Drosophila melanogaster: one gene and its partners. The protein of the gene in region 1 interacts with the protein of each later gene in a pairwise test. Each region holds a gene or a part of one and is shown on either strand. Other genes may lie near its edges. The genes, in order: mRpS26, CG14071, CG12679 and CG14232.

What was found.
Region 2: the proteins of mRpS26 (region 1) and CG14071 interact in a two-hybrid assay, tested with the Drosophila melanogaster proteins (one large-scale study listed by BioGRID).
Region 3: the proteins of mRpS26 (region 1) and CG12679 interact in a two-hybrid assay, tested with the Drosophila melanogaster proteins (one large-scale study listed by BioGRID).
Region 4: the proteins of mRpS26 (region 1) and CG14232 interact in a two-hybrid assay, tested with the Drosophila melanogaster proteins (one large-scale study listed by BioGRID).

The regions. Positions count from the first base shown.
Region 1 is NT_037436.4:18,102,168-18,110,106, forward strand, and holds mRpS26 (mitochondrial ribosomal protein S26), read left to right. Parts: upstream 1-4,411; 5' UTR 4,412-4,494; coding exon 4,495-4,703; intron 4,704-4,799; coding exon 4,800-5,268; 3' UTR 5,269-5,332; downstream 5,333-7,939. Other genes in the region: Polr3D (RNA polymerase III subunit D), read right to left, coding at 5,795-6,360, 6,413-6,481, 6,554-6,933, 6,993-7,225; mus304 (mutagen-sensitive 304), read left to right, coding at 7,748-7,939.
Region 2 is NT_033779.5:10,884,196-10,892,223, reverse strand, and holds CG14071 (uncharacterized protein), read left to right. Parts: upstream 1-3,296; 5' UTR 3,297-3,445; coding exon 3,446-3,856; 3' UTR 3,857-3,948; exon of another isoform or gene 3,949-3,955; intron 3,956-4,006; 3' UTR 4,007-4,579; downstream 4,580-8,028.
Region 3 is NC_004354.4:20,373,496-20,380,963, reverse strand, and holds CG12679 (uncharacterized protein), read left to right. Parts: upstream 1-4,441; 5' UTR 4,442-4,571; coding exon 4,572-5,144; 3' UTR 5,145-5,200; downstream 5,201-7,468.
Region 4 is NC_004354.4:19,701,222-19,710,532, reverse strand, and holds CG14232 (uncharacterized protein), read left to right. Parts: upstream 1-6,273; 5' UTR 6,274-6,394; exon of another isoform or gene 6,395-6,470; 5' UTR 6,471-6,514; coding exon 6,515-6,644; intron 6,645-6,702; coding exon 6,703-7,130; intron 7,131-7,335; coding exon 7,336-7,800; intron 7,801-7,859; coding exon 7,860-8,279; 3' UTR 8,280-8,545; downstream 8,546-9,311. Other genes in the region: meso18E, read left to right, coding at 1,384-2,381, 2,929-2,997, 3,069-3,660; CG14230 (uncharacterized protein), read right to left, coding at 4,191-4,357, 4,420-5,527, 5,594-5,883, 5,945-6,122; Tcs4 (Threonyl-carbamoyl synthesis 4), read left to right, coding at 8,805-8,989, 9,045-9,311.

The DNA of each region.
Region 1 (7,939 bases):
TTTATAAATGTAAGTTATAGTTTTCCTTAAGTTAATATAAATATGTTATAGAGGAAATTTTAATGTAAAAATAAATTCAATTCGCTCTCACTTTGCTTAAAATTCTTTCCTATTTATTTCTTATTTCAAAGAAAATAATAAAAAATTTGTTCTTGCATTTTTGTTCTCTGTGCAGCAAAGACAATAAGAAGAAGAACAATACCAACGACCAGTTTTCAGTTTTTAAGACCTAACGGTGCTTGACGTCACCTACTTTTCACTTTGGATTTTGGTTTTTTTGGTAGATGAAATACCTTTTCTTGTATGCGTGTGTGCGTATTTGCTTCTTTAACCGTTAAAACCGGTTTTATTTGTTGTTTTTCTTCAAATTTTTGAGCATTGAAAACGAAATTTATTTTGTAATTCAGTTAGAAGAAATTGAGAGGAGAAATGTTTGGCCCGTGGAGTTTTGACCGAGTTTTCATTTCGATGGGGAATGAGCCACAGGTTTGAACTTTAGTTTTATTTAATACACTCATAAATACAATAAAAAAGTATATTTCCTAAAAATACTTGCCTATGCTTCATTAAATAAATGCATATATGTGATGAAAAAGCATCCCAAAGCCTCAAAAATGGTTAGAAAGCATTAAATAATAACGATATTTTTCTTCGACATCAACTATAACCAGTTCCATAGAAACACAATTTGCATATTAAAACCATTCACCCGAACCACTCCTCAAAACTTGATAAGTAACTTGAGAGATAAGACGACCAAACGTGACCACCTCCAATCGTACATAAAGGAAAGATGAAACCAAATGAAAACATTGGAAAATCATTGGTAGAAAACGCGAGCCAAGGCTAAGAAAAGTCAAGACTTGTAATAAACTCGAAACAAAATGTTGTAGAATATGTATGGATACAGTTGTCCACAGTTATCATCTCTGAGTTTAAAGGTTTGTCGCCATAACTGTATCCTCGACTAACATATACCTATTGCTCTGCAAGCAAATTTTAAATGACTTCCGGTTTGCTTGTAAGGAAAATAATAAAATAAAAAATAATAAAATATAAATTTGTTTATGTTTGGCAATGCTTCTCTAAACCTGTAACACACTTTTGAATACACATTCTATTGAGATGCAAAAAGTCAAAGAAATATCTATCTTTTTTTATTGAAGATTACTATCTCTATTCGTGTATCTAAAATATGACAATCAGATATAATATATGGTAATCGATTGCCATTATTTTCTCAAACGAGATATTCCTCAATCATAGTTTTCGTAGTTAAACAAGATTCATATTGTAAGTTTAACCAACCATTTCGTATTCCTTCCACATTGCCAAATTCGATTGTTTATTATTTAATTTGCTCTTGAGGGCGCAATACATAAAACGGTGTCCCCAAAATAGACCCAATGGCACAACTCTGTCGTGCCTCGGAAACTTTTTATTATCCCAGTTTTATGAGCACGTAAAACGCTTGGCTAAGAATAAAGCGTTCATTGAGCAGGCCAATACTTTCGCTTACTTTGGGGCTACAGCTAATTTTACGTAAGCATATCCCACCTCGAATGTCCTCATTTCCCTTCCCTGACTTGACTTTTCCTCAGCTTAATAGGTCAACTCGGTCAGGATTAGGTCACATGGGCTGCACCCACTTTTCGGTTGGCCAAAAAAGGCTAAGTTGGTAATTAAGTTTGAGGTCAGTTCGTCAGACGAGAATCTAAATGTGGCAGGTTGTTGTCGAGTTTGCCAGAAGCTCTTATCTGCGAGAACGAAATGTAATGGATTCCCTTGCGTGTCAGATTGTCATCATTTGCCTGAGATCATCAGAAGGGAGTCGTAAATATAGTTTGTCAATCTTTCGCTTGGCTGGTCGCTCTGATGGCAGGCTAAGATTGTTAAAAAAAAAAAACACTCATGACATGACCAGGAAATATACTTCAAGTAAAGGGATTTAGCTTAAGTGCTGCAATTTTCTTAGTTTTTTAGAATTCAGAAAAGGGTTTTTTTATTACTAATTTGCTAGTTATTGTTCTACTGGTTACATGGAGTTATACTCTTAAACATTATTAAAATTTGAAAAGATTTCATGCGTTGCATATATTTGATTACTTTGAAACAAATTTTTTTGCGCTAGTCTTTATAAGTTTTTTTTTTTTTTTGAATTTCACGTTTCGCTTTTGTTTTCCTCTTAATTAAGTGCAAAGCCGCACTGCGACAGTTTGTGACAAATTTGTTGTTGTTTTTTCTCTTCAACTTGCCTTTCAACTTGCAACACGGGCAAGAAGGAGAACTGTAATTTGGTTTAATTGCCTCACAACATTTGCTAATTAGGTTTTACAGTTGGGGGGAACTCTTATCAGAATTTGCGAATGTTCTCCAAGCGCGGAAAAAGTTTGCATATTTAAGTTGAAGTCAGCGCCCATTCCCCAGATTTCCCCCTTTTAGCCAACACCTGCTGAGCTGCCGTGACTGAAAGTCATTTAAACTGTTTTACTTGCTGATGTTGTTGCTGCTGCTGGCATAATTATTTTCCTACACATTTTTGTGTTTAGATTTTCAAAGACCTCAGGTTGGAGATGGGCAAATAAATTAGCAAGCAGATTTTGCACTTGCTCAGGCGTTCAAGGCAAGACTTTTGACTTCTGCGTCGCGTGGTGCAGTGCCCCGAAGTTGCAACTCTTTTTCGGAATTTTTAATGAGCGTTGTTGATAAGCCAAACGAGGTTATGTTGGTGGGAAAATAAGTTGTGTAGCGGGAATTTACTGGCTTAAATAAGTTAAGCTCACAATTTGATAGGTAATTTCAAACTATCACAGAAGCTAACCTAAATAGTTGGGAATATTAAGTATTTATATTGAAATAAAGGGAATTAGATTAGTACATTGTCGTTATCATCCAACAACTTTGCATTCTTTCTGTATTAATCTTGTTTAAATCACGTTTTTAGATATAAAATCTTATCTTAAATGCTGGAGAATGTGAAAGTAAACAGATTGAAAAAGTTGCATAAGATAAACATTCCAACGATTAGAGAGCAGTAAACTTTTAATCGTACAGTTAAGGTACACTAATTAAATTATAAGAAAAGAAGATGTGGCATTTTAAGGCACTAAGTTTTAAAAAGGAAAGTCTACATTACCCATTTTAGTTATTTAATTAAAAGAGAACAATAGAACCCCTGTTTCGTGCAGTTCAAGCAATTGAACAAATTCGATATGCAAAATTGATCGCCTTATAAGAATTTCCAGCTACGAAGCGATCCAATTCGATTCGATTCGATTCTGTGCGTGGTAAGCGGTTGGGATACATGAGACACACATATGAGACAATATTTACAGTCCAACCAGTGCGAATTGCCATTCCAATCAGAGGTAAACAAAAATCAAAAGCCAATGTGAAAAAAAATGCCAACAAACCTGTACGAGTTGTTCGCTGCCGCTGCGCTGCTGAAGCTCTGCTCCCGCCGACGTCTGCGTCGAGAACTTCGGCTTTAAAGCTCTCAGATGGAGTTTTTGTTGTTGTTCTTGCTGCTGCTGCCTTTTTGCATGTGCAAATCGAAAGAGAGCGAGAGAGAGAGGGAGCTATGGAGCTGTGGAGCCCACCAATACTCGGGCTTTTTGGACAGGTAAGCGAAACACGTCGCAAAGAGCAGATGAATAAGAAGAAGACGCAGTAATGAATGATCGTCGCTTTAACTTTTCGCTTGCATCGGTATGCGTGTGTGCATTTCTGGGAGTTAACTTTTAACACTTTTAGCCTTGGCAAGAGATATATACAATATGCACTTTCCACACTGCTTCTAACTGACTTAGCTTTTCAATAACGCACACTATTTTTTTAAACACGAACACACACACACTTTCAAGGCGCGCCGGCTGCGCAAGCCACTTTTGTTTTAAGTTAGCCCACGTACAAGAGGCGAAACAGCGAAGTTCCGTAGCTCGGATTTTAATGCGGCCAGCGCGGCGATATATCGTCGACTGAGTGAGCAGTTACTTTTCGTACCTTCCCGTCAAGTTCACCTGGCCAAAAGCTTTTAAGCCCGAGCTGAGCGCAGCGCAATTGTGAGAAACGCACTAGTGCGTTGGAAGTTTGGCTATTTTCACAACAGATCTGTCTGGACTTCAAAGCTTGTATCTTTGGACAAATAAAAAACATTCATAACCTGCGCAATTTAATTGCAAAAACTTGTTAGCAACGCAAAATTAAGCTGTACCTAAAAATATATCTATGTAGCTGAGTATATAATTATATTTTAATATGAATATGTACGACAATAAATTTAGTAAGTTGACAACCAAATTACTATTGCCTTTCTATCTGAATTTGATTTGTTAAGATTGATTTATTCCTTGATTCTTCGATTTTCCATATTGGTCATCACTGACGGAACCAGCAATCGAACTGCGCGGAACCAGTTCACCGACAACAGAGTTGCACAACAGTTCAGCAGCGGCAAAGTAAAAATTACATTTTGTTAATTAAACTGCTTTTATAATGCTGCGAGCGGGATGCCAGCTGCTGACGCAGTCCACCCTGCCCACCGGGAAGACGGTCGGAAATAGTTTCGCCCTCGAGTTCGTCCGCTGGCGCAGGAAACCGCGATGGCTGCCGGTGGCCAAGAGCAAGATGTTCCGCGTGCCTGAACGCAAGAAGCAGTCGGAGGAGGAGCGCACGGAGCTCATGAGGCTACACAACCAGTACAAGTGCGTGCACCAGCGCCAGATTCTGTCTCTGGTCAAAGATAATTTGTAATCGGTTTCAAAAGACGTTATACAAAACAATCTACGCCTTGATTTCAGAACGCAGCTTCGCTCAGTGCGTCAGTTTCTAAGGGAGGAAGTCGTCCGCCACGAGGAAACATCCACAGCAGATCACATCGTGCTCACTCCCGAGCAGGAGGAGGCCGAGTTCCAGAAATGCCTGGATGCCAATGCTGCCTGGAACGCTGCCATAGCCAAGGAGCGTGATCAGCGATTGGCCAAGAAGCGTGAGGAAAAGGTGGCCTATATTCAGGAGCGATTGGAGGCACAACAGCTGCGCGAGGAGGAGCGCAAGGAGCAGGCCAACCAGCGGGTGCTGCTCGAGATTGAGCGTTCCAAGAACTATATCACTAGGGAAAACTTGGATGCAGCCATTGAGACAGCGTTGGCCAATCCCGTGGACCACAATTTCGCCATCGATATGGCCGGTAATCTTTACCACGGACGAAGCACCTCTCAGCTCCCGGACGCCACTCCCGAACCCAACCAGCAAGTTTTGAGTAATTAATTAATGCAGTGTCTTAGTTTGTTGTTACATTAAAATGCTTTTTATAGGTTTCTAACCAAAGTTGAAAGTCCGTGTTTTTTTTTATTTTTCTGCACAATAAACAACACACTTAAGTATATTTGATTTGCGCAAAAGAATAGGAATTGGATAACCTAGCTATTGTAAAGCGATTTGCTAGAACTAGAATACTTTTCAAATTTTAAGACCGTATTTGAAATTATAATAATCACTTAATTTGAACATATAATATATCAACAATCCATTAACCTAAAAATTAATCTTGGGTCATTGCATTAAGTATTGATGGCTTAATTTACGTTACATATCCCCAAGTTCCAAGCCCATCTTTCTTGGAGTCTCTTTTATGTTCCATATTCGAGTACAATTGTTAATAACCTTTTGAAAAGCATTTGTATTATAAAAATTTCTATATTTAACTTTTATATACGGCATTTAGAATAGGAATAACTTAAGCTTAGGCGCAGCCTATTTACTATATTACATATCTACCATGGGGAAGTGGGTGCTACGTGCCCGGTACTGGATTCGTTCGCTTGGATGCCGCATCCTGCTGCTGGAAAAGGTGCACCCAATCTGGAGTGGCCTTTAGTTTGGCTTGAATGGGTCCCAAGTTGATCATGTTTCCACTACGTTGCTCGCGATTGGCGGTTACAGACATGAGTTCCTGCAGAAAACCCGGATCGAGACCCATATCCAAGTCAAAGCGTGTGTCCCCCAATTGGAGTTTAACGCGACCGGATTTGTACCTCAGAATCTTGCCGATCTGCCCTTCTTCCAGCTGCCGTAGTACACTGCCCTTGGGTCCGTTTGAGCATTTGTCTGCAGGACTTGCTGGTTCCGATTCACTGGTGGCCTGATGATCTCCTTTAGACGGTTCCGGATCTTCGGAATCGTCGCCCACACATGGCAACACATCTGGCAGTTGCATGAGAAAGATCTGCGCTTCGCTGGAGTCCAGAAAGTTACCAATGGTGCGTGGGTAGCGACCGTACTGCAGCGGAGGTTCCTCTAAACTGGCTGCCTGGGCAGCCACATGCAGCTGTTGCAAATGCTGGGCCACTGCCAAAGTGTCTAGGAGCGAAATCAAATTAGATTATGCCATTTTTAAAGCTTAGCGCCTTACCCTTAAGTGTTGAGGTTGAACTGGCGATTTCTTGCTTCGCAATCGGTGTCTTCTGGGTGACCCAGAGTCCTAACGTTTATAAACAAATAAAGCATGAATTTCTTCTGCCCGTGTGCATCAAAAAGTGCTTGTAAAACGTACCCTCTTTTAGCAGGATGGGCCTGAGTGCCATCTCAGTCTTGTTAGCCTCCTCTTCGCTGAGCTCGCCGCCACTGGCGTCCGACTCGCCCAAGAGCTCCTTGATCCGCTCGGCCTGGCTCTTGTCGTCCTTGCGATCCACCCGTTTCCTGGTCACGGACACCTCCTCACCGCCCCGTGCATATGCCGTTCCATTTCCTGTGGACCTTCGCACATGAACATCGCCTGCTCCTTCGGAGAAGAGTCCCTGGGTTTGGATGAGCGTGGAGTTGCCCCCGCCAGCGGAATTTCCACCTCGACCACGTGTTGCTCCAGTGCCGTTGCCACGTCCACCTCTGCGGCCGCTCCTTGGCTGCGTGGTGTCCTTGGATGTCTTGACATTGCTGTGAATCAAATGAGATGATGAAAAGAATGACTCCCCCTGGGCCATTCCACAACTCACGCATTTTTATTGCGCACAGCATTCAAATTGGGAGCAAAGACCTTTTTGCTGGCTGTCCCAGCGCCGCGCCCACCAAGGGTCAAGTCGCGGGCGGGGGTCAGCCTGGTCATTCCGTTTAGCGTCTCCAGTGGGCGTGCACCGCCACCAGACTGACCATTATTCGTGGTGGACCCACTGGCTCCACTGATGGTCGAAGCTGCTGCTGTGGTGACCGTCATCCTCTTCGCTGGCATGGCGTTCCATTCGCGCCGCCCGTCACCTCGAAAATTCGACCGAAGTCGCTGGGTTCTGGTTTCCCCGTAAGTCCTTTAGTTTTGGGCTAGAATTTCCGCAGAATTCTTTGATTTTCCTTTGAGGTTAATGGGAAAGCTGAGTCGATACACCACATGCCGATACACCGCAGTCGATAGACTTGAGTGTAGCCAGATGACTTTGGTTTTGCTCAATATTAATCGGATTTTGAAACTGTGATTGTAGCGGGTTTCTATCGGCGCTTAAAAAAAACCAGCATAATAACAAAGAGCGATATTACAAAACTGGCTTTTTGTTGCAGTAAATCCTAATGTAGTATTTTTCTATGCAACATGGATTCGAAACATAATCTCTATTTTGGTTGGGCAAATCCATCGTTGCGATCAAATCCATCTGGCAACGCTAGTTGAGCTCTACATTTTATAAACAAAGCAAACCGGCAAAATAATCTACGACTTTCCATGGCCAAAAAGTAACGAAATATAGCGGAAACTGGAGGAACCATGGCCAAGCGCTTTTCTGCCATGAAAGACTTCGCGCGGTGCAAGAAACCGCGCCTGGATGTTAGCGTTACCCGCGGATCAGCGCGACCCAGTCCACCGAGGAACAATTTCGATGGGATTCTCTGGGACGACGATGACGATGTCATCCTGATGGCCACCCAGCTGGCGGAGGCGGAAATCGAGGCGGAGGAG
Region 2 (8,028 bases), on another chromosome or scaffold:
AAAGTCCATGCGCGCTTTTAGTGGCCCAGTTGACAGCTGCCAAAAATATTTCTATGGGCCTCTTAAGCCATCAAAACCCGTGCATTTAATTAAACTGCGGCAAAAATATTTAATAGCCAGCAGTGTAGAAGCCAAACGTGGAATGGTTCACCTTGAATGAATCCTGGGAACTAAGTGAAGTCCTTCAGTGGTTCGAAAAACATATGTCCCGCGAATTAATTATTTTTTTTCCAAATAAAAAACACTTACTATTATATTAATTAAACAAACTAAAATGAGCAAGTTGTTAATTAAATCTATTATAACAGCTGTTTTACGAATTTGATTAATTAAAATGAAGAAAAATACAATTATTTAACCGTTTCCAAACTGTCAATTAACCGATGTTAATCAAGTTTTCACAATTAACCGCCAAATGACAGCTGAAATGAACTTTCAATTGGTAAATCAGCCAACCATCCAGCTAGAATTAAAATTAATTAATGGCATTTGTTTCTGCAACTGGTTTTGCATGCAAGCAATTATTGAATAACGATTTTAATTGATTTTCAACCAGAAATTCACAAAACCCTCAAAATATCAGCCACCTCCGCGAAAGCAGACTTCCCCAATTAAGCACCAAAAAAAAGAGGTTACCCGGATTTTCATAAAAAATACTATCTACTATATGCGAATGCGTCTATAAAAAACAACACATAGCAGCATGTTTCATAAAAAAATTCGTTAGTTTTTTATCTTTTGCGCTGTGAGTTTCGCATACCTTCATATATTCCAAATTTCATTTTTCCCATCGTTGAATCCAAACCAGCCAAATGTTTGTCAAACATATTGGGTAGATATTTGTGCGCATTTGATTTTCATTTTACTCAATTTCCGTGCGAAATTTTTCTGTTGAATTGAACATTAGATGGGCAACATGTGTTTGATGCATTTAGTTATTGCAATTCCACGGTTACCTGTCACACCAAAAGGGTTTAATTCAAAATAGAATTTAATTAGGTTAATAAGAAATATATAATTAAGTAATCTGAATGTTATTTTAAATATAAATGAAAATTGTTCACGTACGTGTTAAATTTCCAATAGTTAAGATTACTACTACTACGTTTTTATTAAGTCTGTCTTATGTTACGAGCTCCCATTTATTTTCTTAACAAAAAGTTTCCGCGTGAGCTCTTCAGCTTACTCGACGACTTCATCTCCTGGTTTCCGCTGCTGAGTATTAAGTATACGCCCCGAGCAACAATGATGATGCGCAGGTTTTTTGTATTTTAACTTTCAGCGAGGCAGCTGGGCGGCAAGTAAATATAACCTGTCCGGAGTCCGGACTCCACCCTTCCCCCTACTTACTATCATCCTTTACCGCAGGTAAACCACAAGAATACCAACCACCCAACCTCCCACCCACCAGACCCCCTAACACGTGGTCGGTCTCCTTGTGAGCGCACGTGTGTACATTTTTAATTATGCGAGAGCACACAGAGCGACGAGATGAAAACAGAGCAGCGTGAATGTCGGGCAACTAACTTATTAAAAAGCACTCGACCGGCAACGTATATATTTGCCAAATAAAGCGGAAATTAGGGCAAACTAGGTGCACGCATTCTAGCCCCCCCCCCCCCCATTTCCTTCATTTCCCAAGGACGAATATCCAAGCCTATCCTTCCGTTCGCAATTTTCAACTGACCACCTTGTGGCGCAAGCAAGAAGTGGAAGTTACTCAAGCTAAATTTTCCCGCAAGTGATTTGCATAACTGTAGGCAGATGCCAATGGCTGTTGCTCATCACATTGTTTGGCATTTTAAGGGGCGAGTTATAGAGAAATGTTCGGAGAAAACCCCATGAAATCCTTCAGTAAGCCGGCTTACTGACTGACTGAAGATAACCTAAAAGTGTGCAAAGCCTATTAAGCTGGCAAAGCCAAGAGCAAACGAATAAATGAAAAAATCCAAGTGGATAGAATTGTTTGTGAACTACTCGTAAAAATGTAACTTCCATAACTGAGTTGGAAATTGCTTAATTTGACGGGGCTGGTCCGAAAATCGAGTCTACCGAATATCATATACCGTGCAGGAGTTTAAAACGGAAAAGTCGAAGATGATCAGATATCAGATAGTAAAAATGGTAGCCATTTTTTAAATCATTGTGATATTGTTAACAATACTTTTAAGCAAAAAAACAAAGATATATTTATTAATATATATTTAATATGTATTTTCATTATTATAATTGGTACCAGTTTCGAATGCAAATTTGCATATTAATTATTAGTGTAGATGTAATTATAATTCATTGGTCTTGAATAAATACATGTGTAATATTTGTTTGCTAAATAAATGAAACAACATACCCCTCATACTACCTCACAATCAGAGCACAAAACTACGCACCATAAATCTTACGGCCAGTGGAAAGGGACTGGGAATTTGGGCAGGGCAAAAATTATTACATGCCTCATTTGGCAGCGCCTTGAAGAGTCTGCTTATTATATTTTGATTATTTTCGGCACGCGTGTTTCGCAGGACCTCAAAGCCAGGATCTCCGCGTCGAGAGCTGTAAACAAATTCGTGAAATACGCAGACTGGTCAAGGGGCGGATGTCGATTTGCAAGGACGAGGAGGATAAACAGGACAGCTGGGTTTTTTTTTTTTTTGTTTTTTGTTTCGGTTGCATAATTTTTCATTTTATTTTTGGACTCGTTTGGCCTGCTTTTGTCCATAATGAGATATCTCTATCCTCCTTTGTTTCTTTTCATCATTTTGTCCATTGTGTTTCGGTGCTTGTTGTTTTTGCATTTCGCGAAATGCCGCTGGGAAATTCTTGTAACCAACAAAAAAAAAGGAGCAAAAATCCACTGGGCTCAAATGGCAATGATGGCGTCGAGGTGGTCTTATTAATTAGGACACGCGCCCTGAGTTGTATATATTCCCAAATATTCTCCACTTCAAATATACACGTGAACCTCAAAAGGGACCGCTGTTATTGTTATTTAAATGCATGGCAAGATTCTCTTTCAGAAAGCTTCCCTTGATTGCCAAATTTTGATTAGCATATAAATGCAGAAGGGACAAAAAGAAACTATATCTTTGTGCCGTTAACTCGTGGAAAATTTTAAACTTCAACACATTCTTGTCCACTAAAAAGAGATAGTACGAAAAATAACTATTTGAATGATAGTTTACAATGCTTCTGCTATCATCTACTCGTAATGCATTTCGGCTTAAACAATTTTTGAATGTAATGATCTATTTCCTTTTTTAACTACAGTCTTTTTGTTTTTTCTCGAGTATTCAGTGGACGCCAGCAACACATATTTACCAATCATAAGTAGGTAGCTAGAAACTGTTCGGATTTAAGGAACAAATTTATTGCTAAGTTAAATCAAATACTGCTCCACGTAGAAAACCACAAACTCCTTTCAACGGCGTAACTACACTGTGCAGCAATGTCCAGATCGGCAAAGGGCTTTGGTCGTTTAATCAATCCGGGCGTGGTACTCCATCCGGAACTGCATCAAAAGATGGCCGACTTTGAGGCCATGACCATCGAGCGATCTGATTTGGATCACGAATTGAGCCGATTGCGCAAGCAGCAGGACGATACCGAGGATAATTTGGCAGAGGCGCTGGCCGAGGACGAGTTCCAGTGCAATTTGAGTGGCCAGCCATTCGTTGCTCCCAACGAGGACGAGCTGCAGGAAATTCTGAGGAATCACCTCGGTAGCATTATCAACAAGCTGGCTGCCACGTACGAGCGCCTTATTTACCTGGATGCGGACATCAGGAAGCTGAAGGGAGTCATTGAAAAGGCCATCACAGTGGCTAATGAGGAATCGGCAGCAGCCGCCTCAATGTGAAGATATGTATTTAACCATTACATACGTTGTACTTCTACATATGTGTATCTTGAAAATTTCAGTTCGATTTAATGTGCAAGTAAAGTTTGCAAGTATGTTAAATGATTCGAAATTGCAAGGGCTATGTAAACATGTATTTGTATTCTCCAGCTTTGCCATATGTACCCGTGTGCCGTCGATAATCAGTAAAATATGTGTTACTTTTGGATAATGAAGTCCACGTTCGATGCAACGCGAAATCCATTCACACATTCCGCTGGACATCTTAAATCATTTTGGGTGAAATTAAAGCCGCAACAATCTCATTTCCGGTAATTCTTTATGCACTCGCGCACAGACAATCCAATGCGAGCCAGAAGACACTGCAAATTTAATTGCGTATACGCAATGTTGCCACTGCCGTCGCGGAAACAGCATCCGCTGCGGCAGCAGCTACACTCTGCTGACTCTATCGTTAAGTGCATAAATTCAATAATGCCGAGCGTCTGGCGGTGTCAACGCGCTGCAAATATATAGACTCGCCGGATCGATAAAGCTGAAGCTTGAAAATTTATGGAATTTCCTGTGCATTGAAAATGGTCGCCATTTACTGAATATATTTAAGTAAACTACAGCTCAAAACAAAAATGCATATGTTATATATTGACTTTACATAAAACCCCAAAATGTTTAGAAACATAAGAAATTAATTCTACTTGGATAAAGTTAAACTTAAACAATTCTATACCAAACTGTAACTTTAATTGCCAAGGGGACCACAAAATGGTCTGCGCTTACATGTATAAGGATGCAATTGCATATTTGTTGTTACTTTGCTTTGGTTAAACATTAATAGTCGGAGAATTGAGAAGGAAGTCGAGGTATATTTGAAGAAAGCCAGACTTATGGGCCCTGTCCTGTACTCTAATTAATTAAATTGAAGCGTTCGACGACGAGGTAACAATTTCAATTTTATTCCCGTGCCAGCCAGACTGGTCAAACAAGCCAAATGCAAATTTCCCAACCAGACATGGGTCTTAACAAGAACATTTGCATGAAGTCAATCATCTCGACCATTCTGGCCAGTGAACCGAAAATAAGACACTTTGGGTCTGTACCGCTGTGACTCTGATTGCCTTTCATCCCAGTCAATTGGAAAATTCGCACTAACAAAGCATTTGTGAAGGTTCGAAAAATGTCGGATGTATTTCATATTTTTACTTAATTTTGATTCCTGTTTGTTAAAAGCACATTTTAAAACTCCCTCGTTGCGCTAATCGCTTTCCAGCCAATCTGGAAATGTTGAGCTCATCAATTACAAGTGCCACAACTTAAAAACTTGGATAATAATTTTTTGAAGGTCATCCTTTCTCGTCGTTTGTCTTCATTATGATAAATTGACGTTGCGAACATATTTCATCTGAGCGCTGAAAATTAGAACGATGCGATAATGAGATGTTATTAATATCAACTTGCGACTTATTTAGTGACAAAACCCTTTTGGTCGCCCAAGAGAATAGCATTATGCAAAAATGCGAAGAGTATAAGAAAATGTTTAAACTGGCACAAAACCCTTTAGGAAAAAGAAAGAAAGAATGAAAAAAAAAAGACTAAGCCGCCTCTTGTTGAGCAGCCTTCAAAAGTGTCAAGAAAACAAATGACGGTCACCTTTTTTTTTTGTTTGCGTTTCTAAGCCAACCTTGAATAAACAGAAGTATGAGCAAGTGTTAAACTTTCTTTTCTTATACCCATCAGCGTTGCCTTTTTTTTAAGGCTCTCGCCTCGAAGCCCTATACCATGGGTTTTGTAACTTGAGAACATAAAAAGGACTATGGCACAAAAACTTCAACCATGATTTGACCCGCTATACTCGTTTATGAATATATATATTTTTTTTGTAATTACCAGGCAACCGATTTTTCTATTGATAATTGACGAATATACTTCAATGCTACACATACAAATATAAGTGGCAAAAAAAGAAATGATTGCTTAAATTCATGTAGTACAATTTGTTTTCAATTTGCTTGCCAAACAAACACATTTGGCACACCAAGAAATGCCACCACAGGCATAAAATACGGTCAGTCCGATAAGGTTGGAGATAAGAAAATTTGTGCCATGTAATAACAATGGGGAAAATAAAAAAAAAAAAACACCCCGGTTACAGCCGCTACACACATAAATCAAATAAATGGCAACAAAAAAAAGTGGACAGAATAAAGCAAATATAATGTAAGTAAATAGTAAATTGAACACACTATTTGTTTGCAGGGATTCTTTGTGAAAAGAAACTAAATATATTATCTACGCAAAGAAAAGATAAGTCTTTGTAAGCCTTGTTCTCTACATTTTTTTGTCACACATTGTATTTAATTCGTAGGTGCTAAATTATAATTTTCTTGCATATTCTCAGCCCATTCTGCTGGCGTTGAATGTGTGTGGTTTGCACGAGAAAACCCTTTGTGCGGCTTATTCAATCACATCAATTTAATGGCAATTACATGTGCTCAGGCTGGGCATGATAATATGCGCCCGAATACCTCCTTAGCCATCCCCCTTTCCCACCTCGAATCACCTCCATTACAAGGTCTGGCCAAGTGTATTGAATTTCACTTAGCTAATTTGCGTAATTGCGCAGCACAGCCATCATGTGAATGCAGCATGTGGATGCAGAAAGAAGTCATTTGGGGCGACAAAGATTGTATAAAGCCAATGGTATAAGATATAAGTATCTGAAGGTATACCCATTAGCAATGCAGCAGTACGCAATAGTCAAGTTCCTCGAAACATTCTCAGTATGAGTGATGCTTGAAAAAATCCCAAATTGTCTCCAAAGGACAATTAATAGCAGACCCCTATTCACTTTCAAACTTCATTGAAACCATCTTTGGTTGCCGGTGGAAAGGCAATTTGTTGCCGCTGGGATTTTGTTAATGGCTCAATACGAGCAGCAGCATCTGCACTTTGCAGCCGGCAAGTGGGGCAGGAATTTTCGGCGTGGCGTTGAAGCCCCAGATCCACAGATCCCTGTGCTCCAATGAACCAAACACCCGGCCAGATGGTCAAGACAAGTGACAATGAGAAGTGCAAGGCTGGCAGGTGGCAATTTTGCGGTCTGGCAGGTGACAGGTACGACGTGTTCGGCAACAAGTTGCGTCTGCAGATCATTGCGGATAATTAAATATTTAATGTGGTCCGTGGAATGGCAGTACTGTGAGTACTTTTAACACTACATAAAGGTTATGAACGCGGCGGCATAAAAATTAAGTCATAATGCGATTTGTGGCAATCATAAAGGGCACAGCGTGCGGCAACTACATTACATTGTGTGCTTTTTAAGGTCATCGCGGAAAAGGGCGATAAATTCACTCTCTGTCGCATAAAATGCGAGGCGAGAATGCGATTGCTGAGCTCATAAATCGGCACTTGAAGGGTCGGTAATAGGGATCATAAAGTCCGAGAACAAAATAATCAATTTGTAGCCCATAACGCCAAATAAATTGCAACTAAGCTGGGCCCACGGGCACACGTGTCGTATGCGTCATTTGCTAAGAGTTGCGAAATTAACACGCATACGACGGCACTTAATTTGTCACTAAATGGCTGCCCAAAATGCTCGTGGAGTGGTAAAAACAGGGCACAGTACACTTAGAAATCTGCCTTCTAATATATTTGATTTGATTTTAAATATTTGCTAAATTATATAATTTTTCCAAATTGATTATTGATCAGCTTTCTGGGGGTAGAAAACCAAGACTAGCCGCCACTGATCCCCGAATAAGACCTATGAATGTAATGTTTATTTACTTTAGTGTAGCCGTGTGGCAATGTGGCAAGTTGGCGAGCAACACGTTGTGCTGCTTAAATTGAAAATTACAAAAAGCGAAACAAGCGAGCACGCAACCCAAACAGCAGCGCCTTCAAGAATGCCACGTTGTCCCAGTGAAGCCGCAAGGACGCGTGATGTGCGGACATCCTGTGGGAGGATGGCAGGATGGGCGGATGGGGTCAGGATGAGGGCGTGGCTGACGGCGACGCATATGAAAATTTCGCACGAAAATTTATTGCCATGCTTAAGAAGCGTGCGTATGAAATAATATACAGAGCGAAGGCAAACAGGACATGTACATAAGCGGTCCGTTGCTCCTGCTGAATTTTAAAATGTTCTTTAAACAATGTACCCAGAACTG
Region 3 (7,468 bases), on another chromosome or scaffold:
CCATCTCCCATCACCCATCACCCAGAACCCAGAAAAATGGAAAATGTGGAGTTCTGAGTGGATGGGGGGCGTCACGCGCTTGAGGACACGCGCACGTATTGAGCATGTGTGTGAATATTGCACGCGATAAATTATTTTAAAGCGCGCTTCCCTTACCGCTTTCCATTTCCCATTTTCCGGCCCTCTGGGTCGACCCTGCAAACATCTATTTAATATAGCGCTACGCATCAGTTTTAATATTGTTACGATTTTATTTACGCACATGAACATTTATAAACGTTTATGACATGTCATCCATACAGGCCATCCTCCTTTAATTCCGCTGTTTGCCTTCGGTTTGTGGGTCGACACTACTCAAATAATATTTATTGTTTCTGATTTTTCTTTAGTCATTATTATTACGCATATTTATTATGCATTTATTAATTTGTTTTGCTGTGGTTTTTCCCCACCTTCCACACCCCGACGAACGGACAAACGGACAAACAGACGAACGGACACATACGGACACATACGGACACGGACAGGGGAATACGGATACGTCAGTGGGCAGGTTAAACATTTTCGTTTGATTTGTTATCATTGTGGACCGCGTTTTTGCTGCTTTTGTTGCTGCGGCTGTCGTGGCTCGATGATGGCGTTTGTAATTTCGTTTTCGGCACTACGTAATTTATTAACTTTTCATTGAAAGTTATGTGCAAACGCACGTTGACGACATCTTTAATTAATTACATTTTAACATGATAATTAATAGTGCCGCGTGCGTCGACAGGCCGACAAAGCCGCCAAAGTGCCGAGTGCCAAACGCCAAACGCCGAACACCCCAAATGCTAAATCAATCGATGGGTGCTGGCTCCATACCCACCTAGAAAGCCACCTGAATCCGCCCGAACCCATGCCGAAATCACCCAAGCCCGCGACCTTAAAGCAGTCCGATCTTGAGTTAGGTTATGGCTACGTGCCGGCGATACGAAGTTGGCTCGGCTTTAAAGCCAAGCCCATCCATCCATCGGGGAGCATCGATAGCCATAATAATAACAGCGGGCACAATCAAACACACTCAGTACAAAGTCGTGGGCACTGATGATGACCATAATGATACACAAACAATTGCCAAGGAATTTCAATTCAATTCCCTTTAATACCCATCAATTGTGCACTTTTCGGCCGTGTTCAATTGCCTTGTGTCAAGTCTAAAGAAATAAGTCTTTCGTGATTTTCAATTCGAATAACGCTTAAAGAGGGTATATTTTTGCATGTAATGTATAAAGTTCTTTTAAAGGTATTTTTTAAGGCATATTTAAAATCCGACAACAATATGAATTTGACTTACATCAGGACAACATCAATAGGGAGTATTCCTGAGTCCGGAGAGAGTTGCCTCCATGGCGAACCATTTCCACTACTGCGTTTGTACTTTCTGTTTTTCCGCATCTTGGGTGTGTGCTTGTGTTTTTTTATCATTCCGCCTTGTTCACAGGACTCTTCGTCCTGCTGGCCGCCCAAGAAAGTTGTTCGCACAGTAGCAAAGATTGAGTTCTTATTCAATTTGTACGGATTTGTTGTTCGCCGGTCCTTTTGCAGTCCGCTCTTAAAGCCTAACCCCAAAAGCCTCCACACCACCACACACCCCCCCAGCTCAGTTGCTCCAGGTCCTGTCCAGCCACTCATCTCGGCCAATCCCAATCCCCAATTGGCCCCGGCTCGAGCCCACTCAACTTCTCATTCTTCTTCGGCTGCTCTATTGGAATTTATTTCATATTATTTTCGTTGGTCATGCCACAGTTTGGCCCCGTCAATATTTCTCCCTACCCCTTTTCCTAATCCCAACCCTAGAACACCAAAACCCGAACCCCCGAACTTAAACCACCGGCAATACAAGTTGGCACTGGTCGGCATTGTTTTTGGGGTGCGATGGCAAAAGTTCTTCGTGTTGTGGACCCAGCTGCAGTCAATTTGAGTTGACCACCCAAGGAGCACCCAGGACCATCCAGGACCATCCATTCAGGACTATCCATTCAGGACTATCCATTCAGTACTATCCTGCACTTTGGCTGGAGGCCTGCAGATGGATCAAGTTAGCTGCTAGTTGACTCCTGCTGCCAGTCCAACGAATGCTCGGGGCCAATCAATGCGCCGGCAAAAGTATGCTACGAAAAAGTTGCTGTCGAAACGGAACTGGAAACAGAGAACTGCAGCCCGCCACTCGCACTCTACGTCCACCCGATAAACACTCGGTACTCTAGGCACCCCGTTTTTTTTGACACCCTACTTGCGGCAACACAAAATACTCGAGTGTTTTACCGACGTTGTGTTTTTGTTACGAGTAAAAAAACCACCCGAGGCCTGCTGCGCAAGAGCCGTATGGGTGAGTGGACGCACAGTCAACGATCGGCCGCAGGTCATTTTTTGTATGCGGGCTGCAGTTCTCTGGTCATTTTTTGTACGCCTAAAATTTGTATGGGTGGAAGCGTGACGGGTATAAGAAATGAAGGGTAAAAGGGAATACCCAAGAAAATTTTTGTGCTCATGTCTTTGCTCTTTGATGGACTCAATGGGTGCCTCCCATTTCAAACACATAAAGTAATTGCAATTAAAGACGGCATTTGTTGATTTTTACGTTTTTTAATGTCTCAATCTAAATAATAAAAACATAGTGGGCTTAAAAAGTATCTATTAAATATAAGGACTTAATGTTGTTGGATCAGGTAGTAAGTCATCGACGTCTACCTGTTCCCCATAGATAGCGCCGATTTGTAGGAAAAACTTCACCAAATTTTTAAATCCGGCTCCGGTTACTGCAGAAAACGGCCGACAATCTTGGACAACCCATTGGGTGCATTTTTCAATAGCTACTTTCTTGTCGTTTTCCGAAACAATTTTTAATTCCGTTGGTCGTCTTAATGTTAGACAACATTTATGGCGGGATAAATTGGAGGTGTTTTTGTGTAAAAATTTGAGCACTTTCTGGCATTGCCTGCAGAACAGCCATCCGTCCAGAACAGTTTCATCTTCCTTTAAAATGTCACATAAAATGCTCCAAATAACACTTTTTCCTTTATGTTTATTGGCAACTGAGTATGTTCCATTGTTAATTTTATTTTTAACGAAATCAGCCGCTTCTGCCATTATTGTGACCTTTTCCTTTGGCTTCCAAATAATACTGAATCCTAACAAGCTAGTAATTGCATCGTAAAAAACAAAAAAGGGGCAATTAACAGCCGAGACACTGGACCAAAGACACAAGAACTCAACAATCATTATGTATGGCGCCATTTGACTCGACTACCTACGAGACCACTCGAGTATTTTTGGAAACACCCGAGTATTTTTGGAAACACCCATGTGTTTAACGGTATACCCACAAGTGTTTTTCTCACTCATCCCTTTTTAGGCACTGTGTGAGCGGCACCCGCGACGCAAAACACCGTATTGATTCGGGTGCGCACACAACGGGGTGTCTTGTCTGCATGTTCAGATTTATACTGTGTGTTTGTAAGTACCCGCGATGTGCGTGGCGAGTAGCACCCGCACACAAAATTGTAGGGTGTGAGTCGAGTGGTAAAAAAGTGCCACCCTTGCAGTTCTCTGACTGGAAAACCATGAAAATGTCCTTGCCAGCTAAATGCCACTCTCTCTCACACACACACAACCACACACACACGTCCAATGCAGTGCGGGAAATTTCTTGGTATAAACTTAATAATGCATCGGGGCAAATAAAGGAAAAAAGCAAAAGAAACAACGGCAAGTCGGAAAGCCAACATAAGTTTTGGGGCTAACTTGTTATTTTTGTAATTGGCACTTTGCAGTTTTATTGAAGCGTTGGAGCCCCGAAAAGGGCGCTCGGGATTTTGGGGGTTACCACTCCCGTCCTTTGTGCGGATCAAAATCCAGATTGGTTATTTATATACTGCGTTCGTTCAGGTGTTGTGATCGATGTTCTGATGCTGCCTCCCTAACCACTCAGCCGGGAGTGACTCAGTGACCCTGCCGACATCCATCCCTGGTCGTAATCTGAGGTGGCCAACGTTAGCCACTTTGGCGATGAGCAGCCTTTGTCCCCTTGGCATACTGGCTGCACTGGCTTGGTTATTGGTTATATTTGGTTCAGGAACTTCGGGATTTGAAGTGGGTTTGGATTAGACAACGAATGATTGCAACGAAGGAAGGGTATGCAAGCATACTTCATAATGAGGATTGTTAGTCCTTGTAGCCATTTTAATTCTCATGTTGTATGTCGTAAAAGGTAAAAGGTATAAGTATTTGAATAAGAACGAGAACCCGATACATTTGTGTATTGCTTATGATATGGCCATTTTAAATCTCAAAACATTTATCTAGCAAAACTGAGTTGATAAATCGATTAAACAGAGTTGGCCTGGACTCGGTCTTCAATGTTCTGCCAGTGGGAGTCATTTGGATTCAGTCATTCCAGACCCCAGTCTCAAGGTAGCAACTTTCAAAATTTTTAGTTCCTGTGTTCGTAACAAATAAGTGAAATCGCATATCGTGATACCAGACTGACAGAATCGATAGAATTCTCGAAGGAACGAAGAGAAGCGCCGAAAATGCATGTGGTGGGGGCACTGGTCAATCTGCTGCTGATCTTGGCCTGCATTTACACGATGACCTCACTGACCCCGGCGGACCATCCGTATGCCTTCCTGGCGGCATCCTTCAGCCTGGTCCACGGAGTGCTGGGCGTGGTTCGCTCCTTTGCCAACGAGCCCGACGAGTGCGGACGCACCTTTATGATCTCAGCCATCATACTGGAGGTTATCCCGCTGCCACTGGCGAACATCGAGTTCTACCTGGTATCCGATCAGTCGGGAGTGGCGCTGGTGCACGGCCTGTCGTTGATTCCACTGTTCTACGACATGATCGGCAAGATCAGCGAGGACTGGGACAGCTCCACGGAGACGCTGATGGACCTCGCTCTGTTGGGCAACATCGGCTCCACGTTGTATCTGGCCATCAAGGACGGCAACCATATCTACTTCGGTGTGGCTGCCACCGCGCTCCTCGCCAGATACGGCGGTGCAATTGTCGATAGCTGCAACGAGGGCCTTAGCAACGTTGTAGAGACTCTGGGAAACACCGGCATCCTGGCCCTTATGACCTACGCACTCACTGAGGGCTAATTGCTAAAACTTAAATTTGATCGGTTCGCGAAATAAAGCCAAGATGATGAATCAGCATTTGAAATTGGTTGAGCCAACTATCATTGAATACAAGGCACTAGGGATTTGTAGTTTGGGGATATGAATTACAAATCTACAATGAGAAAGGAATAAGCAATATAGCACTACTATATAAGCCATAAACCATGTCAAGGGTATACAGACTTCGGTGTGCTGCGGCTAACTAGCCTCACTCACTCGCGCGACTTCAAATTGCCAACTTAGTTGTTATTTGTTCGCTGTCTGGCTGAAGGGGCAGCGCGAAAAAGACGCGGTTCAAGGGCCGAAGGACGACGGACGACGGACGAGGGACGAAGGACTGGGGTCTCAGGACGAGGGACTCAGGAGGGCAGAGAAGGAAAGGGACGGGGCAATATTCGTGGACGCAGCACTGTGATGGCTCTCACGTCACCACTTCAGCAAATTGCGGCAATAATGCAACAAAGGTTTCTTGGGAAACACATACCAAATTGCATAAGCAAGGCAAGGCAAGGCAAGGCCACGGAAGCGGGGTGGTGTGGCCCGCTTCCTTGGGGCGGTGCTGGTGGTGGATGGATGTTCACTCCTTGGCGACTGGAGGACTGAAAGACTGAGAGACGACGTCAGTCGCTTGGCCGCCAAAGCTCTTGAACCGCCACACTCCTGCATTTCATTTTCAATTTGATTTTTTTCTGCCCTTTTCTTTTGGATCTTTGTTTTTTCCGCCACAGAATGAAGAACGAAGAAATTCCCCTCAACGACTCTGCGCCCTTGTTTACATTTTTGTTGGCTGTTGTGGTTTCCGCTTTTGGGGCCCGCGTGCGATTCCGTTTTCGTTTTCGTTGCAACATTTTTGTTTGTAATTTACTTTGGAATGCTGGCGCCACAGTCGCCGTCGTCGCCTTGTGCGGTTTTCTTAGAAAAATCTCCAGTCGCCGTAATTGCAGTGCCCGCAGTGCCGCCTGTAGTGCTCCGGACGACGGACTCCGGACTCCGGACTCTGGGCTCCAAACTGCCATTGCCGACAGGCAAATCAACTGTCACCCAGTTGCTCAGATGCGGGACCACGGGCGGTATGAGCAATTTCGCATTCCTCATACGCCGCGTGGGTCGCAAAGGGAGTGGGGTAGGTGCAAGGTAAGAAATGCGGGTGCCACTTTAAGCTTGCGTCCACAAAACATACCCAAATATCTTCGCTTTGCATAACCATTTGTCTGAAGAACGTTAGGCAGTAAATAATATATATGTACATACATATCGGCGAGTTAAGGTATGATGATGCCTGAATGTGTAACAGAACAGATTTTGCTTCTGCAATTACAATGGTGTCCCTTCAGTTTTTAATGGTTAAAATTACGCATATATATTACGAGTGACGGGTATATGACTTATTCATTATTCTGCCTATTTTGGTTGGCATACAAACAATCAGCTTTCCAATAAAAAAGACATTTTTCTGAATATGAAAGTTTTTTTTCTACATATCCCTTTTTATTTCGATTGGGTATCCTAAATGTAGTCCATCGCATCGCCACAATGTGGCCAATGCTAATATGCAGTCGGTTCCTTTATAGATAGGTTAAGGCTTTCCCTTTTGTCATCTTGAGCGGAATGTGATGTGTCTTGGTCCAATAAGAGGTCCCGAGGAAGGGCCATTACTTCCTGTCATCTCTTGTCTAAAGGACGCTCTAGTCCTTTCAGCGTTCCGATCAGGCGAACTTGAATGTTGGCATCACTGGGTAGACTCATTCACCATATTCCATGGCGCACACTTAGTCTGGGTTGACTGATTGACCATATTGGATCTATGGGGGAATTGAGGCTCCCACTCTTTCGGGATTATGTTTGGGGAAGTGGAACGGGCTGCGTTGATCAGCATCTTGATGATCAGTTGTGCTATCAATGTGGTACTTCCGGTTGGGGTTCTAGATGAGAAATAAATATAATCGAAACGGGTCAAAGCCAATTGTCAAAAATATGCAAGGCCATATAGCGCTTAACTATGTGAGCAAAGGGTATCTAATAGTCGCGACACTCGATTCTAGCCGTCTCTCCATTAATTAGTATGTAGGTAGAAGGAAGCGGCTCCGATCTTGCCATGTCCGTATCTCGTGAACTTTAAAAGCTAGACAAGCAGATTCTTTTGGCGGTCTTATATATCTTATCTTATATATCTTATATCGTATCTATCTATATCTATATCTTCTCTTATCTTATATAGCGTTTCTCCTGATTGTTTTGTTCATATATATTTTTGGAAAAGGGTCTTACTTTCTTGGGGTTGAAATGGGTTCAATTAAAAAAAA
Region 4 (9,311 bases), on another chromosome or scaffold:
CGAAGAGTGTGAAAAGATCCCGTTTGAATATGACCTGCAAAAACTTGTCCAATCCATGAAAAAAAGGCTTCAACTTGTAGCTAAAGCCAATAGGGCACATACTACATACCAAAACTTTTAAAATTTTAATAAAATAATTTTAAAATTTAGGATTAAACTTTGATTTAGTGTTTTGTGTAAAGAGTTTCTTGACAGTCCCAAAAGTGTGTAAACTTGGAATTTGTTGTTTATTTTCTTGTATATTTAATATTTTTAATTTGTTTTTTGATTTATAAGTAAAATAAATATTGTTTAATTATATTTTATAAAAAAATTGCGTTTAATTAAGCAAAAAACCCTTTATTTTTAGCTTTAAAGTCAAAAATTCAACTTATCTTACAGTGTGTAAACAGTTTCTTGACAAACTGTATGTACATATAGTATGTACATGCATGTACATAGATTCTCCCAGATACGGAAGTGCAGCAGATCCGATCCGAACGCCACAGCCTCCGCACGGATCGCTATCTGCGGTAGTGGACAATCCGTGAATATCTGCGAAACAAATTTCGCCGCGCTTAGTCATCATCGGCAGCTCATCTCTGCCGCGGGAGGAAAGATTTCGTAGAATCTAGACGGCATGAATGAGCTTTGGCCATCAGCACGATGATGCACAAAAACTTCTGGTCAAGATCATAATGGCATGTCCATCTATGTATCTCTTGGAAAACTCAGGAGATATTATCGATGTTTTGAGCTAGAGATATAGATAAACATAATCTTACTGATTTTCTTGGATCTAGTAGACAATGTTTGTAGTTCATATATTATATGGTATATTTACATACCATGCGTTTGAAATATACAATTGAAATGAAATATATGTATGTGTGTACATTGAAATAATTGTGACAAACTTTAACTGCACAGATGTAGCTATTTATAAAAGATTTATGTAAATACATATAAGTATCTGCATATGTTTTGACCATTAACCGTAATAAATTTATTAAAAAATATTTATGATTATTGATATCAAAATTAATATATATATATTTATGATATATACGATACATCGGTCCATAGTTATTTCTAATTATTTAATCATTTATTTTGTACATTGGATTGGATTATAATTTACCTACCATATGAATCATATTTAAGATGCCTTATGTATGTACATACATACATACTATATAAAAATCTTAACGAAACAACTTGGTTTTTATGAGCTTTTCAACGTTGTAAACGCCTGTACGATTTATTAACTATTAAAACTAAATAATAATAATGAATTTAACACATCACTATTATCATCATATCTATATATTTTTTTTTGTATCTTATTGTTAGTAGCAATTGTTTCTTATTTTCCTTAAATTATCCTGTTGGATATCCTTGCAGGATACGAAGAATCCCCCGCCGGTGACGAGCAGCTATCACCACCAGCGGGCGCCGCGGACGCCGGAATCGTACTTCAACGTGCCGGAGTCGGTGGCCCTGCTGAACATCGTCAAGTCGGAGCGCATCCAGAGCGCGTTCCAGTCGAACCGAAAGAACCATGCCAGCGTGTGGGAGATGGTCGCCGAGGTGCTCAACCGCTTCAGTGCGCGGAAGCGAACGGCCAAGCAGTGCTGCAATCGGTACGAGAACCTCAAGAAGATCTACACGCAGCTGAAAAAGAATCCCGAGCGCCATGTGCGCCGCAACTGGCCGTACATGTTCCTCTTCAAGGAGATCGAGGAGCAGCGCGGCGAGTGCTGGGGATCGAATGGCAAGCGTCTGGCGCTCATAACCAAAAACCACAACGAGCTATCCTACTACCAGCGCCGACGGCAGGCGGCCGAGCTGGGAGTGCTGCTCAACAAGGACAACCTCACCCCGCACCAGCACAGCCTACTGCAGAGCCTCAGCCAGAGCCAGAGCCAGAGCCACTCGCACGCCCACTCCACGGACTCCTCGCAGAGCGGGAGCAAGCTGGACCGCTTCCTGCCCAATCACTTTGTGGAGGCGCAGCTCAGCGAGGTGGCCGGCCCGGTCGGTGGCTCCGCATCCGGTGTATCCGGCATGTCCGCCGGCGGCTTCGACGAGAATCCCCTCCAGATGCAGATGGTTCAGGCAGCTGCTGCCGCTGCCGCCGTGGCCGCCCATAAGCGACATGAGCTCCAGATGGCCAGCGTTGGCGGCGTTCAAATGACGCCCGAAGACGACGACGAGGATGAGCCCCAGCGGCCAGCATTTAAAAACCACCTTCACGTCCTGGGTCATGGCCACGGCCTCGGCTTGGGCCACGCGCCAATGGACGACTCTGGCGAAGCACCCGACTTCGAAAAGGACTGCAATGGAGCACTCAACATGCACCACCAGAACAACAATCACAACGAGAACCACATATCAATGAAGTGAGTAAAAGTTGTAATAGATTTCTGGTAAACTATGTAATAGACAGAGGAAGGGTTTTCAATCTCCAAAATATAATTGTTTATAGGCTCTTGTCTGTCCGTCGATATTTCCGTAACTAAATCTCAGAACGTTGCCACGCCCAGTCTTACGCCCACCAACAGTTTCGCAATCAAAAGACAAAAAAGTTCGTTGCAAGATTGAAAATCGTAGTGAAATTGAGAATATAGATTACTTTATGTTTCTTCCATTCAATTTAAAGATGTTACTTTAAGTGTAAAATCTAAATTTCGATGCCGATTCCGATCCTCTAGGGATTACTTACATATACTGCAAACTACAAACCTAAAAGATACTTCACTTCACTGATAGACTGACTTCACTTCATCAAACAAACAAAGTTAAGAAATAAATCCTTTTTACTCAACAATTATCAGTTCAAAAGTAATGGTGTCCATTTAATTGTTAATGGGGAAAGTCCAGATCGATTATCGGGTTGCCCCGTTCTCGAGATCCCGCCTAAGACTCTCGCTTCTCTGCCGCCCACAGGTCGGAGCCACTTTCGGAGGGCGAGTTCAATCCGGACGACATCCAGCTGATGCAGACGAACTACAATGGGTGAGTGCCGGCGGCGACGGAAGCCACCTTCTTCGAAACCGATTCCATTGATCAAATCCATGCTTGCACAGAGCGCAGAACTACTATTCGCCGGGCATGGATGCGAATATACTGCACCCCGATGTGATCGTCGACACGGACATCCTGTCCGACTGCTCCTCATCGACAACGCTGAAGAAGAAGCGCAAGATGTCCACCTCGACCGACGGCGACAGCACCAATTACGAGCTGATCGAGTATCTGAAGCGGCGCGAGAAGCGGGACGAGGAGCTCCTCAAGCGGATGGATGCGCGCGAGGACCGGCTGATGAACCTGCTGGAGCGCACGGTTGTGGCCATTGAAACGCTGGCCGTAAAGCGGGCACTTACGTTTCCAGTTAATCCAACCAAAGAGAACGCGCCAGCGACAGCCAGACCGTTGTCTCCGCCACCACCAGAGGCTCAGTTTGCAGCGCCGCCAGCTACGCAGGAGCAGCCCACCAGTCCGGAACGCAACGGCATTGCGACAGGCAGGAGCGGCACCATTCCCGTCGCGAATCAGGATGCCGCCATTGAGGTGCCAGACGACGGCGATAGCGGTGACGATGTTCAGGTGAAGGACAAGCTGGCCAAGCTGACACCAAAGGCTGGCGGCGATGAACGGACGGATGGCAGGCAGACGTAGAATATAATGCATCCACTACTCGCTAGATCTACTTAAGACTTCTACCTACATACATATATATATATATAACCCTTCCCTACCGCCACTCCTCTCACCGGATGGCGGCAGAGGATACAGTGCCAAAGAAGAGCCATGTCTCGAATTTCAGTTGAGATTGCCATTTTTACTTAGAGAGCCTACACAAGTGCTTAGCGGACGAATGAAACTTAATTGCAATGTTGAATATTAAGCGCCGCAATTTTTGTTGAAGCGATAATCTTAATTCACTTAATTAGCTTTTAGTTAGGCGGAATCCCACCAGCGGATGCCGAATGAATCTCAACAGAGCCGGATTCACACCGCTACGATAATCTAGTTGGAGCTGCAACGGGGCTCAAATGCATTTGTGCAGTAACTAAAGCACAAACATTTCATTTTTTTTTTTTGTAATCTAGATGAATACATGTACCATTTACAAAAAAAAAAAAGAACAATATTGGTTTATTTTACACAGGATTATGCTTAAGACTAAGGGTATAATTTAACCTAGATCAGTTTTTTCCCTTTTTATTCCGCTGCAGCTTGATATCCTTGCTGGGCAGGCTCTTCTTCGCCTTGGCGATCTTTTTGGTGATCAGCAATTTCAGGCGGTTCTTCACTTGGTCATATTCGGCATGGTCAACCACCGCCTTCGTGGACTTGAAAAACTTGGCGCCCTCTGCAAAGAAAAGACGATCGCTTGTTGAGAATGAAAAAATACGCACAGATTCACGTTCTTACCCTTGAGACGAGGATCGTTTCTGGGTATGAAGAAGGACTCCAATTTGTTTTTGTTCCTCTTTTGACCCGACTTCTTCGCTGGCTGGGCCTTGTTCTCCTTGCTGACCTCAAGCTCCTGCTCCTGCTCCTGCTCTTGCTTCGGCTTTACTTCGGTTTCGTCTTCGCTGTCGGACGAGTCGTAGGAGAACGGATTGAGAGTGGCCAGTCCGAGCTTATTGGCAGACGTCTTGCCCACCAGGATCTTCTCATGGCCCAGCTTCTCCAACTGGTCCTGGCGCTTGGCCACCTCCTTCTCCGGTGCACTGCCGAACATGTCCAGCAGGCTGAAACCCTCTCCACGCGTGTTCAGCGAATCCCTCAACGTGTCGGTGACAATGTAAAAGGCCGTCTTCGAGACGGCTGAAGCTTGACTGTTGCCCGCGTCGGCGGTCTTGGCTTTCGTACTGGAAGTCTCCTCCTTCTTCTCCTCCTCCTCCTTGGGCTGCTTTTGGCGCATTAGCTTCTGATGGCCCTCCTTGGCCGGATCGAAGCGCAGCATCTTTTTGTTCTTTGGCGACTTACCGTCCTTATCGTTCGCACTGGTGATCGCGTGTCCCACAACCTGCTCCAGAATGTTCATGTGCCATTTGCGCTCACTCTCCTCCGGCTCAGGCTGATCCTCCAGCTCCGCCTCTTCCTCCTCGTTCACAAAGTTCGATGTGATGCGGAAGCGGGGATCTATACTCTGTTTGCTCTGCATCTCCACCAGACGCTCGCCCTTCTTGCCCTTATGCTGCGGCAGGACGATCTGCTCCTCTTCCTCATCGTCGTCGTTCTCGAACAGATCCCGCTTTTGTATCTTGGCTTTCTGGACGGGCTTGGACGCCTCCTCCTCCTCGGCGTCGCTGAATTTTATTCTCTTTGCCTGACTGCCTTCGACTGATATCACAGATAGCGCCTGCTGGATGGCTGACTTCTTTTGTTGGTGTCCCTGACGCATCTTGTTGAGCGACTCCTTGCGCTTCTGTTCCGCCTGGCTGACATTGGCGTCCGGCTTCTGTTTGGCTGCCTTGCGGTGCTGTTCGATGACATGGAGTGGCTTCACGTCGTGCTCCTGCTGGATGACAATCTGTGGGAAAGGAAAGGAAAGGAATTTAGCTGACAATGAGCTTGGGAACAATGAGTGCGTGCATACCCGGCCATTGTGCATGGAATTGGCGGCGCGCTTCTTGGTAATCAGCAGCTCTGGAGCGACCTCATCATCACCAATCTCCTCATCCTCTCCGAATACCCTGCGCTTGTTTTGGCCACTTTGCACCAGGAGCTGAGAGCTCGGCGCACGCACCTCGGACTCGTCTGGCTCGCCCTGTTCCCGGCGCTGGTTCTCTTCGCGTTCGCGCTTCAGTCGATCCAAAAACGATTCTTTGGCAAGAGAAACTCTTAGCTTTTCGCCGTGCAACTTCTGCCATTTGAGCTCGTTGACGCCTACAAAACCAAGCTATGGTTACTCCTTCCGTCTGGCTGTGATCTTCCGCGGATAACTTACAGTACTGGGCATCATCCGTCTGCACGGTGACGAAGGCAATCACCTTAGTGGCCCCATCCTGCTCCTTGCGCTTCAGATCCACGTGCTCTACGTGACCGTAGTCCTGGAACAGGATCTGCAGGTCCGACTCCGAGGTCCTGGTCGGCAGATCCGCCAGGAAGAACCGAGTGCTGCCCATATTATGTTTACGCTTGCAATGCACGTGTAGAATCCAAATCCCGGCAAGAATTGCTGTGGGCCAGTGTGACCGCGGGCAGATAAAAACTTACACTTAAATATAGCCACAATTCCAATTCCCAATTGCTTTATACAGGTTTTTAACAAGTCCAAGCAACACTAAACCAGCTTTCAAATTTATTTAGCAACTTTGTAAATAGGCAAATACATTAAGTTAGACAAAAATAATCCCCATCGGTCAGTGTTGCAAGGCGAGCAATACAATTACTTTAGGTGCGCAGCTGGCTGGTCACACTGGCAGCAGACGTCACAATAAATTCTATTATTTTGTTTTGTTTTGTGCGAAAAGTTTGCAGGCCAGCAATCGTGGACTAGCCCACAAACAACGGCAGCATGGCGAGCGGGACAAGCGGCACAAGCAGCAGTGAAACGGCCCAGTCGACGGACATGGCACCATCATCGGCCGAGAAGTGGGGCTTCCCTTTGATTGAGCTCTACCGCCTGGCATTCACGTTCTACAAGCGTAAGAGCAGAGATCCCGGCACTAGCGCACCAATAACGGCTAATCTCACATATTGCAGGGAACTCCGGCAAGGCCATCCACTTGTCGTACGAGGACAACCTCAAGCTGATCGCCTTCAAGCAGCAGGCGGCGCTGGGCCCCTTCAACACGAGTCGCGCCCCGGCGCTGGGCGTCCTGGACGTGATCGGACGCGACCGGCAGCAGCACTGGCAGCTGCTCGGTGAGATAACGCGCGAGCAGGCGATGGAGGGGTTCGTCGACCTGCTGGACACAATGTGCAGCGCCTTTCGGCCGTACATTGAGGCCGTGCGGCAGGACCGCGACGAGACGCTGCGCAAGGAGCTGCGCCTCATGGAGGAGAAGAAGGAGGCACGCGAGCGGCAGGAGAACGCCCAGCAGGAGCTGCTCGAGGAGGGTTACAAGGAGGAGCTGCAGCGCCGCCAGCTGCAGGACGCACTCAACAAGCAGACTTACCAGCAGTTTAAGGTAGCCCATCGATTTTTTCAACAACACACCGGCCCGGCCCTCTGCACCTGTTGTTGTGCTAAATAATGCATGATAATTACTGGGTGCTCGGCCTTGGCTGCGCTGTCTGCCATTGAAAAGGGGTCATGACCCAGTTCTCAGGCAATTGCATGCCAGCTCCTGTACCATTAACTTGGCCCTTCTAACGCTTACACTCGTTCCACAGCTGTACGCTGAGAAGCAGTTCCCCGGAAACCCCGAACAGCAGGCCGTGCTTATCCACCAGCTGCAGCGGGAGCACTATCACCAGTACATGCAACAGCTTCATCTGCAGAACCAGAACCAGAATCAGAATCAGAACACGGAGGACAAGGGACACCAGGAAGCAGAACACGTCCCTGGCAATAACAACAACAGCTCAACCGACTTGCCCAACGCCATGGAGGGACTGAAGCTCGGTGAGGTCGAGACACAGCAGCACCAGCAGCTGGCCGAGCAGCAAGACGGGCATGTAGAGCAGACGTTGGAGGGCGTTGGGCAGGAACAGCACGGCGAGGAAGAGTACGACGACTACGTTATGATCTGCCCGGCCAAGATCTGGACTCGTCCCGACATCGAGCAGTTTAAGACTGAGGTGTCCGCCGGCGATGGGGACGGCGTCATCACCATTGGACACGGCGACACGGTGACGGTAGGTGGCAATCAACTAATGACGAAACAAGGCCCATATTGACCGGCACAATTTTGCAGGTCCGTGTGCCCACCAACATGAACGGCAAGTGCATCTTCTGGGAGTTCGCCACGGACAGCTACGACATCGGCTTCGGCATCTACTTCGAGTGGGCCAAGCCCGTGACCAACGAGGTGACCGTGCATGTGAGCGACTCCGACGAGGACGAGGATTGCGTGGACGAGGACTACCTATCCACCACCGAGGACCTGGAGTCCGGCTCGCTGTCGCAGGAGCGCGGCGCAGTTAACAACCCGACTGCTGCCCCCAAGGCACCCATTTCCATTATCGTACCGATCTATCGACGGGAGTGCTACAACGAGGTCTACGTGGGCTCCCACTCCTATCCGGGCGAGGGCGTCTATTTGCTGAAGTTCGACAACAGCTACAGCATCTGGCGCAATAAGACGCTGTACTACCGCGTCTACTACGAGCGTTAAGAGGCCAAAATGTATTTACTTACCACTAACTTAGATGAATCCTATCTCCGTACGAACGGCTAATGTGCAAGTCCGGAATAATCTGTATGTGCGTGTGCGTGAGGTTTTGGTTTTACGTGTGCGTTGCTGCAATTCCGGGAAACAAGCGGCGGGAAAAGACCATGCCGATTTCAGACTAAACCAATATTATTTATTATTTAGTTGTAACCGACGAAGACAAGTCCAAAATTCAATTTGAAACTAATAAACAATATAAAGACAACTGTAAATAATCACTTTTCGAAATCTCTTTGCTTCTTAATGAAGAATAAATTATTCGTAAAATTCACTTAGGAAACTTCTTCATACGACACAATTGCTATTACCAATTTTGGGCATTGAAACAACTATTATTATTATTTTATATTAAATAAAAATTGCATTAAAGTATAGTTAAGAATTTGGCTCGTGTAAGGGGCCCTAACACTAACGGTCCCACGATTTGCTGGTTGTGGTTTCTATCGGTGCCTGGTCACACTGGCCATTATGCATGCACTTCGTAATTTTGCCGGCAATGGAATAGCAAATGTATTTGGCTGTGGGATCAGGCGCCGGCTCAGCTATGTCCTGGGCATCGAGACCTCCTGCGACGACACGGGCATCGCCATCGTGGACACCACGGGCCGAGTGATTGCCAATGTGCTGGAGTCGCAACAGGAGTTCCACACCCGGTGAGTGCTCACATCTCCGCATGCGGTGCCCAATGATGAACTGAATCGATTGCAGCTATGGAGGCATTATTCCGCCCAGGGCCCAGGACCTTCACCGCGCCCGCATCGAGTCCGCCTACCAGCGCTGCATGGAGGCGGCGCAATTGAAGCCGGACCAACTGACGGCCATCGCGGTGACCACGCGTCCCGGACTGCCGCTGAGTTTGCTGGTGGGCGTGCGCTTTGCACGGCACCTGGCCCGTCGCCTGCAGAAGCCCCTGCTGCCCGTTCACCACATGGAGGCGCACGCGCTGCAGGCCCGCATGGAACATCCGGAGCAGAT